Linked DNA regions of Drosophila melanogaster. The protein of the gene in region 2 interacts with the protein of the main gene of each other region in a pairwise test. Each region holds a gene or a part of one and is shown on either strand. Other genes may lie near its edges.

The links.
Region 1: the proteins of scpr-B (region 2) and CG17658 interact in a two-hybrid assay, tested with the Drosophila melanogaster proteins (one large-scale study listed by BioGRID).

Annotation. Positions count from the first base shown.
Region 1 is NT_033778.4:23,893,074-23,896,995, reverse strand, and holds the start of CG17658 (uncharacterized protein), read right to left. Parts: upstream 1,934-3,922; 5' UTR 1,812-1,933; intron 1,752-1,811; 5' UTR 1,734-1,751; coding exon 297-1,733; 3' UTR 1-296. Other genes in the region: Upf3, read left to right, coding at 2,229-2,321, 2,379-3,521, 3,578-3,820; DNAlig1 (DNA ligase 1), read right to left, coding at 3,877-3,922.
Region 2 is NT_033777.3:11,239,257-11,242,648, reverse strand, and holds scpr-B (SCP-containing protein B), read left to right. Parts: upstream 1-1,657; 5' UTR 1,658-1,669; coding exon 1,670-1,783; intron 1,784-1,836; coding exon 1,837-2,511; 3' UTR 2,512-2,608; downstream 2,609-3,392. Other genes in the region: scpr-A (SCP-containing protein A), read right to left, coding at 594-1,268, 1,334-1,453; CG31388 (uncharacterized protein), read right to left, coding at 2,612-2,753, 3,022-3,138, 3,216-3,392.

The DNA.
Region 1 (3,922 bases), on a different chromosome or scaffold from region 2:
CTAGTTAAACAATTTATTCTTAAAGAATTACCAAAAATGTAAATGGATAAACAAACATGTTTAAATTAAAGGGCGACATTCAAAGCCGCGTTCGAAACTGAATACTGTTCTCGATATTATCAACTAATTGTAGTTATTCTACAGTCTTGGGTAGTTTTAATGCATCTAACTTGATACTTGTGGCAGTAATCAGGTAACTTAGAATATGTATTTGACGAGCAGCTGTTTAATAACAAATGTCAGTATTGTCGAAGGTATTATGTGTACTAAACTAAGCCTTATATAGTCTTTGGTAGTCATTGGCATTTTTTTTTGCTTGTGAAAATAACCTCGAGGTAGTTATTGGCATACACAATCCTCTCGGTATCTTCTGGTGCTGGATTGTGCAGTGGCAATATTTCACGATAGGGATTGCCCATTATATTGTAGGCTCTCTCGATGGCAATCTTGCTCTTCTCAGCGGACAATGTGATGGCCGCGAAATCGGAAATTGCCTGAGCCCTTGAAATCGAAGTGTAGCAAATGGGAACACCAAAAGATCGAATAACACTTGACAAGCAAGGCTTCCATTCGTTTTCGAGTGGAACCTTCCTTTTCATATACCTAGAAATTCTCTGGGTTACTTTACCGACTCCGAAGAAATCGGGTTGCATGATGAGAATCAAGGTGGGATCCACATTTAGAATACAGGAATATTGTGAAAATGACAGGGGGTAAAAGCATTTCACCACGGTTTGTTCAAAGCTCCTGTCGCTGAATTTGATATCCACTTGGTCGATGCGCCCAACGGTTCTTCCAATGAAGTGTAATTCCAGATTACGAATGCTTGGGTACTGCAGGAACAGAAAACGCAGGTGCATGTCCTCGAAGTAGCGCAAAGTGTCCTCGGTGGCGCCGGCCACGTAGACTATGACAGCTTTATTCGGATCTGGGACCCAGGAAATGTGCGACAGGGCCAGGCACAGACTTGCGATGCCGCTGAAGGAGGAACAGGTAGCGAATAGCTGGTACGATTCCAGATCGGTCCAAGGAGTGTCGCTGATCCGTATGTCGGTGGCTTCGGTGAAAGCCTTGATTAGATTAGACTCTTTTAGTGGGCAACTGCGGTAGAAGTCCTTGATATTCACTAGACAGTTCAACTGACGAAACGGAGTGGCAATCAGAGCCAGGGTCTGGCAATCCTCCGGGGTGTGATAGCCCCTGACTAGGCGTTGGTGTGCCGCGGAGCAGAAGGCCACTCCGGCACATCCTTCACAGTCCTCGAGAGCTTCAGTGCTGAAGCACACATCGCACACGGCTGGGTTGCCGATTAGCTGATGCTCCCGCTGATTCAGTGGTCTGCCCAACTTGGCCAGCAGGACCATCTTTAGCTGCGAAATGACGAGCTGAAGCTTCCTGCGATCGGTGATTTGGCCGAGCAGCTTCAACGGGTGATCGATCTTCATGGACTTCTGCAGATCCCTCAGCACCTCGCAGAGTGGCTTGTGTTCTTGACGATCCGCCACGAGATGGGACAGGCTGCAGTATCGCTGCATATTGCAGCCTCTGCATATCACGCTGGGCTTCACATGTGCTTTCTCCAGAAGCGTTTGCAGGTGAGCAAGGTTCTTTTCCACCTTGTCCGATTCCTTGGTGAAACCTTGTATCAATTCTGTCCAAGTCCTGCCCTCATCGGAGACGCAGACGAAGCACTTCAGAAAGGATCCCACTGGTGGATCTACCGGCGCCATCATTTTGCAATGCTCAGATTCCTGAAAACGATGTTACTGCATCATGTGTCAAGCTCTCTAGAATGTCCATTTACTCATTACCTTGACCAAGTTTCCTTTTATTCATTCAATTCGAGCATTTAATGTGCCAAAACAGTCGAAACTGTTTAAAAGTTGAGCATGATATCTGCGTACCGGTCAAAAAAAGCGCTCTTGCAATGTGGATTTAAAGAACTAGTTCCAAAGATCTAGATACCAGAGCCTTGTCGTAATTGCCAGAAATGGCACAGATATTTCAAGTTCTACTTTCCTAATATTTGGCTAACTAACTAAGTGACTAACTTCTTTGATAGAATCTATTTTTTTTTACTAGAATAATTGGATATAGGTTCCACTTGTGAACTTTAGAATTTCTTCTAGTTCGAGCCGAAAGTGCCATCTCTATCGGTTCCACATCATGTTTGCATTTGTTGGCTTTTCGGCTTTGTTTTGATTTTTGTAAATAAAAAGGAACAGAAAATGGCTGAAACTTTTGCCGAGGAAAAGCCCAAGGAGAAGTCCAAGGCAAGCAGGCGCAAGGACAAGAAGGACAAGACCAATCAGATCGTTAAGGTACCGTCCAGACTGTCTTAATCCCACGATCCTCCGAAACTAATGCATTCATTGCAGATTGTGATGCGGCATTTGCCGCCGACCATGACGGAGGCGCAGTTCCTGGATCAGGTGGGTCCTTTGCCGGAGAACGACTCGTATTACTACTGCAAGGCAGACTGGTCGCTGGGCCAGGAGGCCACCTGTCGCGCCTACATCGATATGTCCTCCAAGGACATAGGCGAGGTGGTGCAGTTCCGGGATCGCTTCGACGGCTACGTCTTCGTCGACCACAAGGGCGTCGAGTACATGGCCATCGTGGAGTATGCTCCCTTCCAGTGCTTCCTTAAGAACAAGGCCAGGAACGACGACAGCAAGGTGAACACCATCGAGAGCGAACCCCACTACCAGGAGTTCATCAAGCGGCTGGCCCAAGAGCGCGAGGAGGCGAGTCGCATGGGCGACGTCAAGATCGACTTCAACTTCGAACGGCGAACAGAAGAGAAGGTCAAGTCTACACCCCTCCTGCAGTACCTGGCCAACAAGAAGGAGAAGCGCCGGGAGGAGGCGCGCAGGCGGAACGAGGAGAAGCGGAAGCAACGCGAGGAGCAGAAGCTGTTGCGATTGGCAGCGCAGTCGGACGCCAGCAAGCTTAAGGAGGCCGAAGGAGGCGGCGGAGGAGGAGACACGAAGAAGCCAGCCAAAAAGGATGTCAAAGATCCGCAGTCATCTGGATCCCAAGCCAATGATGCCAAGGCCTCGCGCTCCAAACGACGAACGGAGCGGGATCAGAGGCGACGCGAGGAACACGAACAGCGTAAGCTAGTCAAGCGGGACAAGAAAAAGGATGACGGCCAGGGCAAGCAGGACAAACAGGACAAACAGGACAAAGGCAAGCCATCCAGCGGCAAGCAGAACAAAAATTCAAAGTCCATGGACATCGTTATCTTGAAGAAAGCAAACAAGCCAGAATCAAACGAGAGTTTGGACGTGCCATCCACTTCTAACGCTGCGGAGGCCTCGAAAGAAAAGCCTGCGACTGAAAACACCGAGACACCAGAAGCTGCTGTCAAGGTTTTTACACCGGCTGCCAGAGGTGGTCGCAAGGAAAAAAGAACCGGCGCAGACAAGCAGCCAGCAGGTTCCGCCCACGAAACTGCAGAGGAAGCCATCAAGGCTGCTCAATTTCGAGCTTCAGAGGAGCGGCGCATTCGGAATAAAGTGGGTCTCACCTATTACCCCCCTCGACATTTTACTAACCCGCTTGATGTTTACAGGATCGACCATCGATTGCCATTTACCAGCCCAAAGCCCGAATTCGTGCATCAGATGAGCTGCCCCAAGGTGCAGGCGGCAAAGATGGCTCGGATGGAGAGGCTTCCGTGGTGGAGGAGAAGACTTCGAAGAGGAACAAACGCCCCAATCGGCGCAACAAACCCAAACCGAAGGAGGTGAAGGAGTGTGAGCTCGAAACTCGTCGCTTCTCCAAATCCTCCGAGAGCAGCACCAGCGTCAAATAGCGATAACAGACTTTTATTGTTAAATAAATCGTGTACACATGGCTGGAGCAGACCGGTCAGTAGAACTCGTCCTCCATCTCCATTTGTGTGCTCGACTTTTGA
Region 2 (3,392 bases):
ATATTCCCATATTCATGACTGTCTATTTAGTTTTCATACGTTTTGATTTATTTATTTCCCCTATTTGATTTACTCTTAATTTTAGCACAAAGTCATTGACTAACTAAAGACCATCTGATTGCTCGGCGTCCCTCTCTAAAAATCACAAGATGACATCGGCTAGATCACTTACACATAAGCAATCAGACCCTCTATTTATTGCATCATCATGGTTCATACCGATCCACTTGGATAGAATCACTGGAGGGCAGGACTCTCGCAAGTATTCCCGAGCGTTCAAGCCCACAACATTAGATACAGTTTTGTAAACCTGCGTAAGATTGTGATATTGTGTGTTTTAATGTACAAGTTGAACATCCAAACGAAAGCTGTCGAAGCAGACGACAAGATGATAAATACCTCTCGCATGATATGATATACTTAAATAAATCAATTTAGACTAAAAGAAACCACCCATACGTTTTTTTTACTATCCGGGCCAACATTTTTAAACCCATCCTAAAACTATAAAATCAACGGCCGAGATTTCAAATGATAAGCTCTTTTAGCTTTTATTTGCCAACTTAATTATGGACTAAGAATCGAAAAAGCATTTACATCGTCTGTGTGTTCTCGATGACCTTCTCGTTGTCGTAGATCTCCTTGGCGTAGCACAGATTGGGGTAATCGTAGGCAGCTCCATATCGGTTCTTGCAGCCGGTGGTTGCCTTCTCTCCCGGAGTGTAGACAGGCTGACCCACAATGTTCGATGTGGCGAAGTTGCAGGTGAGTACGAAGTGGTTGTAAAAGTCCCGGGAGAAGCGCACCGCGGCACATCCCACATGTGTGTTCTTCTCGGCCACCGCGATGGTGAACTTGGTCACCGCTTTGTTGGGAAGCTCCTCCGGGAAGCTGGCGAGGATCTCGGGAGATGCATTCGAGCGCTCAGCAAACCAGTTCTCGATCTCCTCCTTTATTATTTCCGCATCGGTGTACTCCGTCTCGGCTCCGCTGTACTGGAACAAGGCGTTGTTCTGGCCGGCGTAGGCGAATCTCTCGGTGCTGCGGCACTTATCCGGCAGGGACTCACAGGTCTTTACGTTCAGCAAGGCCAGATGGGAGAGCTCCTCGCACCAGGACATCTTGGCCATGCGAACAGCCTTGGGTAGTCCTTCTATTTTGCCTCCAGCCACATTGTTGCGCAGCTCGTTGAAGAGATTGAGGATGAGTTTGTGATGCGGCTCGATCTTCACCTCACGCACGTCCTTGGGACAATTTTCACTGAAGTTCTGGATGGGGATTTAGGACATTACCAATACGAACTCCTGTGAATTTGGTTTACATAAGAACTTACTCCCTTGTTGTTACAGGCCACATGCTTGTCCAGACAGGTGGGGAGAGCACAATAGTCGACGGCAGAGGAAATGGCAACCACAGCTAGGAGAATCAATTGGAGAACCTTGGTGAACGCCATGATGCTAGTTCTTGGCTACTGGATTGGACAGCAGATGGGTCTGCTTTTATATGGCATTCGAACTGAGCTCAGCCACTTGTTCCTGGCCAGACATTCTTGGAAACTCAGCTGCGAAAATACTGGAAAACATGTTGCAACTGCGGTTCGATTGCCACAGCTATCCTATAAATAGGGTACTTTGGGTAGCTAAGCCTCAGTCCAAAACCAACGCTGAAGATGGCCATTAAGTGTCTGATTTTGCTTACTTCCCTGCTGGGAATAAGCCTTGCAGCGGACTATTGTGCTCTGCCCACGTGCCTGGACAAGCACATAGCCTGCAACAACAAGGGAGTAAGTAGTGATAGCTGGCCAAAACCTGCTGGTGCTCACCCATTCTCGCCCAGAATTTCAGTGAAAATTGTCCCAAGGACGTGCGTGAGGTGAAGATCGAGCCGCATCACAAACTCATCCTCAATCTCTTCAACGAGCTGCGCAACAACGTGGCTGGAGGCAAAATAGAAGGACTACCCAAGGCTGTTCGCATGGCCAAGATGTCCTGGTGCGAGGAGCTCTCCCATCTGGCCTTGCTGAACGTAAAGACCTGTGAGTCCCTGCCAGATAAATGTCGCAGCACCGAGAGATTCGCCTACGCCGGCCAGAACAACGCCTTGTTCCAGTACAGCGGAGCCGAGACAGAGTACACCGATGCGGAAATAATAAAGGAGCAGATCGAGAACTGGTTTGCTGAGCGCTCGAATGCATCTCCCGAGATCCTCGCCAGCTTCCCGGAGGAGCTTCCCAACAAGGCGGTGACCAAGTTCACCATCGCGGTGGCCGAGAAGAACACCCATGTGGGATGTGCGGCCGTGCGCTTCTCCCGGGACTTTTACAACCACTTCGTACTCACCTGCAACTTCGCCACATCGAACATTGTGGGTCAGCCTGTCTACACTCCGGGAGAGAAGGCAACCACCGGCTGCAAGAACCGATATGGAGCTGCCTACGACTACCCCAATCTGTGCTACGCCAAGGAGATCTACGACAACGAGAAGGTCATCGAGAACACACAGACGATGTAGGTGATAGTAGATGCTGGGATCTTAAACATGAACGCGGAACGGAAGCTTTATTAATATCAATTCGGTATATATAATTAACATGCAACTGGCAATAATGAATTCAATTCGTTGAACAATTTCTTCCACGGGAATTGGGGGATGCAGCAGCTTTAGCACGCGCCTCCAGAGTTTTGTGGGCATTGGACTTCAGATGGGATCTGTAGTGTTTGGCTGTCTTGAAGCTTATGCGGCAGATTTCGCAGCTGGAAGAGATTGGGGGTGAAAAAAATGTTTTACTCATTAGCATGAGGCTTCAAAAAAGTAATTTGATTACATTGAACTGCAGCATATCATATTCAACAGAGTACTGCTGATATTTTATAGGAATATATAGGCACACAATCGTTTTTTGCATATAAAACAAAAAATACGTTTGACATGCAAGATAGATTCGTTATTTAGTTGCGAATAATGGAAATCCTTCTAATTTGCATTCTCTGCAAATACTTAAGAACTGGGAGGAAGTCGTACCCGTGATCGCGAGTCAAGTTGTGATACTTTTGATGTGTCCTGCACTCGCTGGGTGTTACATACGACTTGGGGCAGTACTCGCACTGGTAGATACGCTTGCTGGCGTCCATGTGAACCCTGCGGAATATATTGGAAGGGTCACGTAAGTGGGGATGGTGGGCTAAGTGACGGTGGAGATTCGTCTGAAATTCTACCTTTCATGCATGCTGCGGGCGCTGCAAAAGCGAAAGGTTTTGCCACAGTTGTAGCGACAGATGTAGGGACGCTCGGTTGTGTGGGTTTTCTGATGGGAACAGAGTTCGGCGGCTGTATAAAAGGATGCGCTGCACTGGTCGCATTTGTGGCGTCGTGTGCCCGCGTGGCGAACCAGG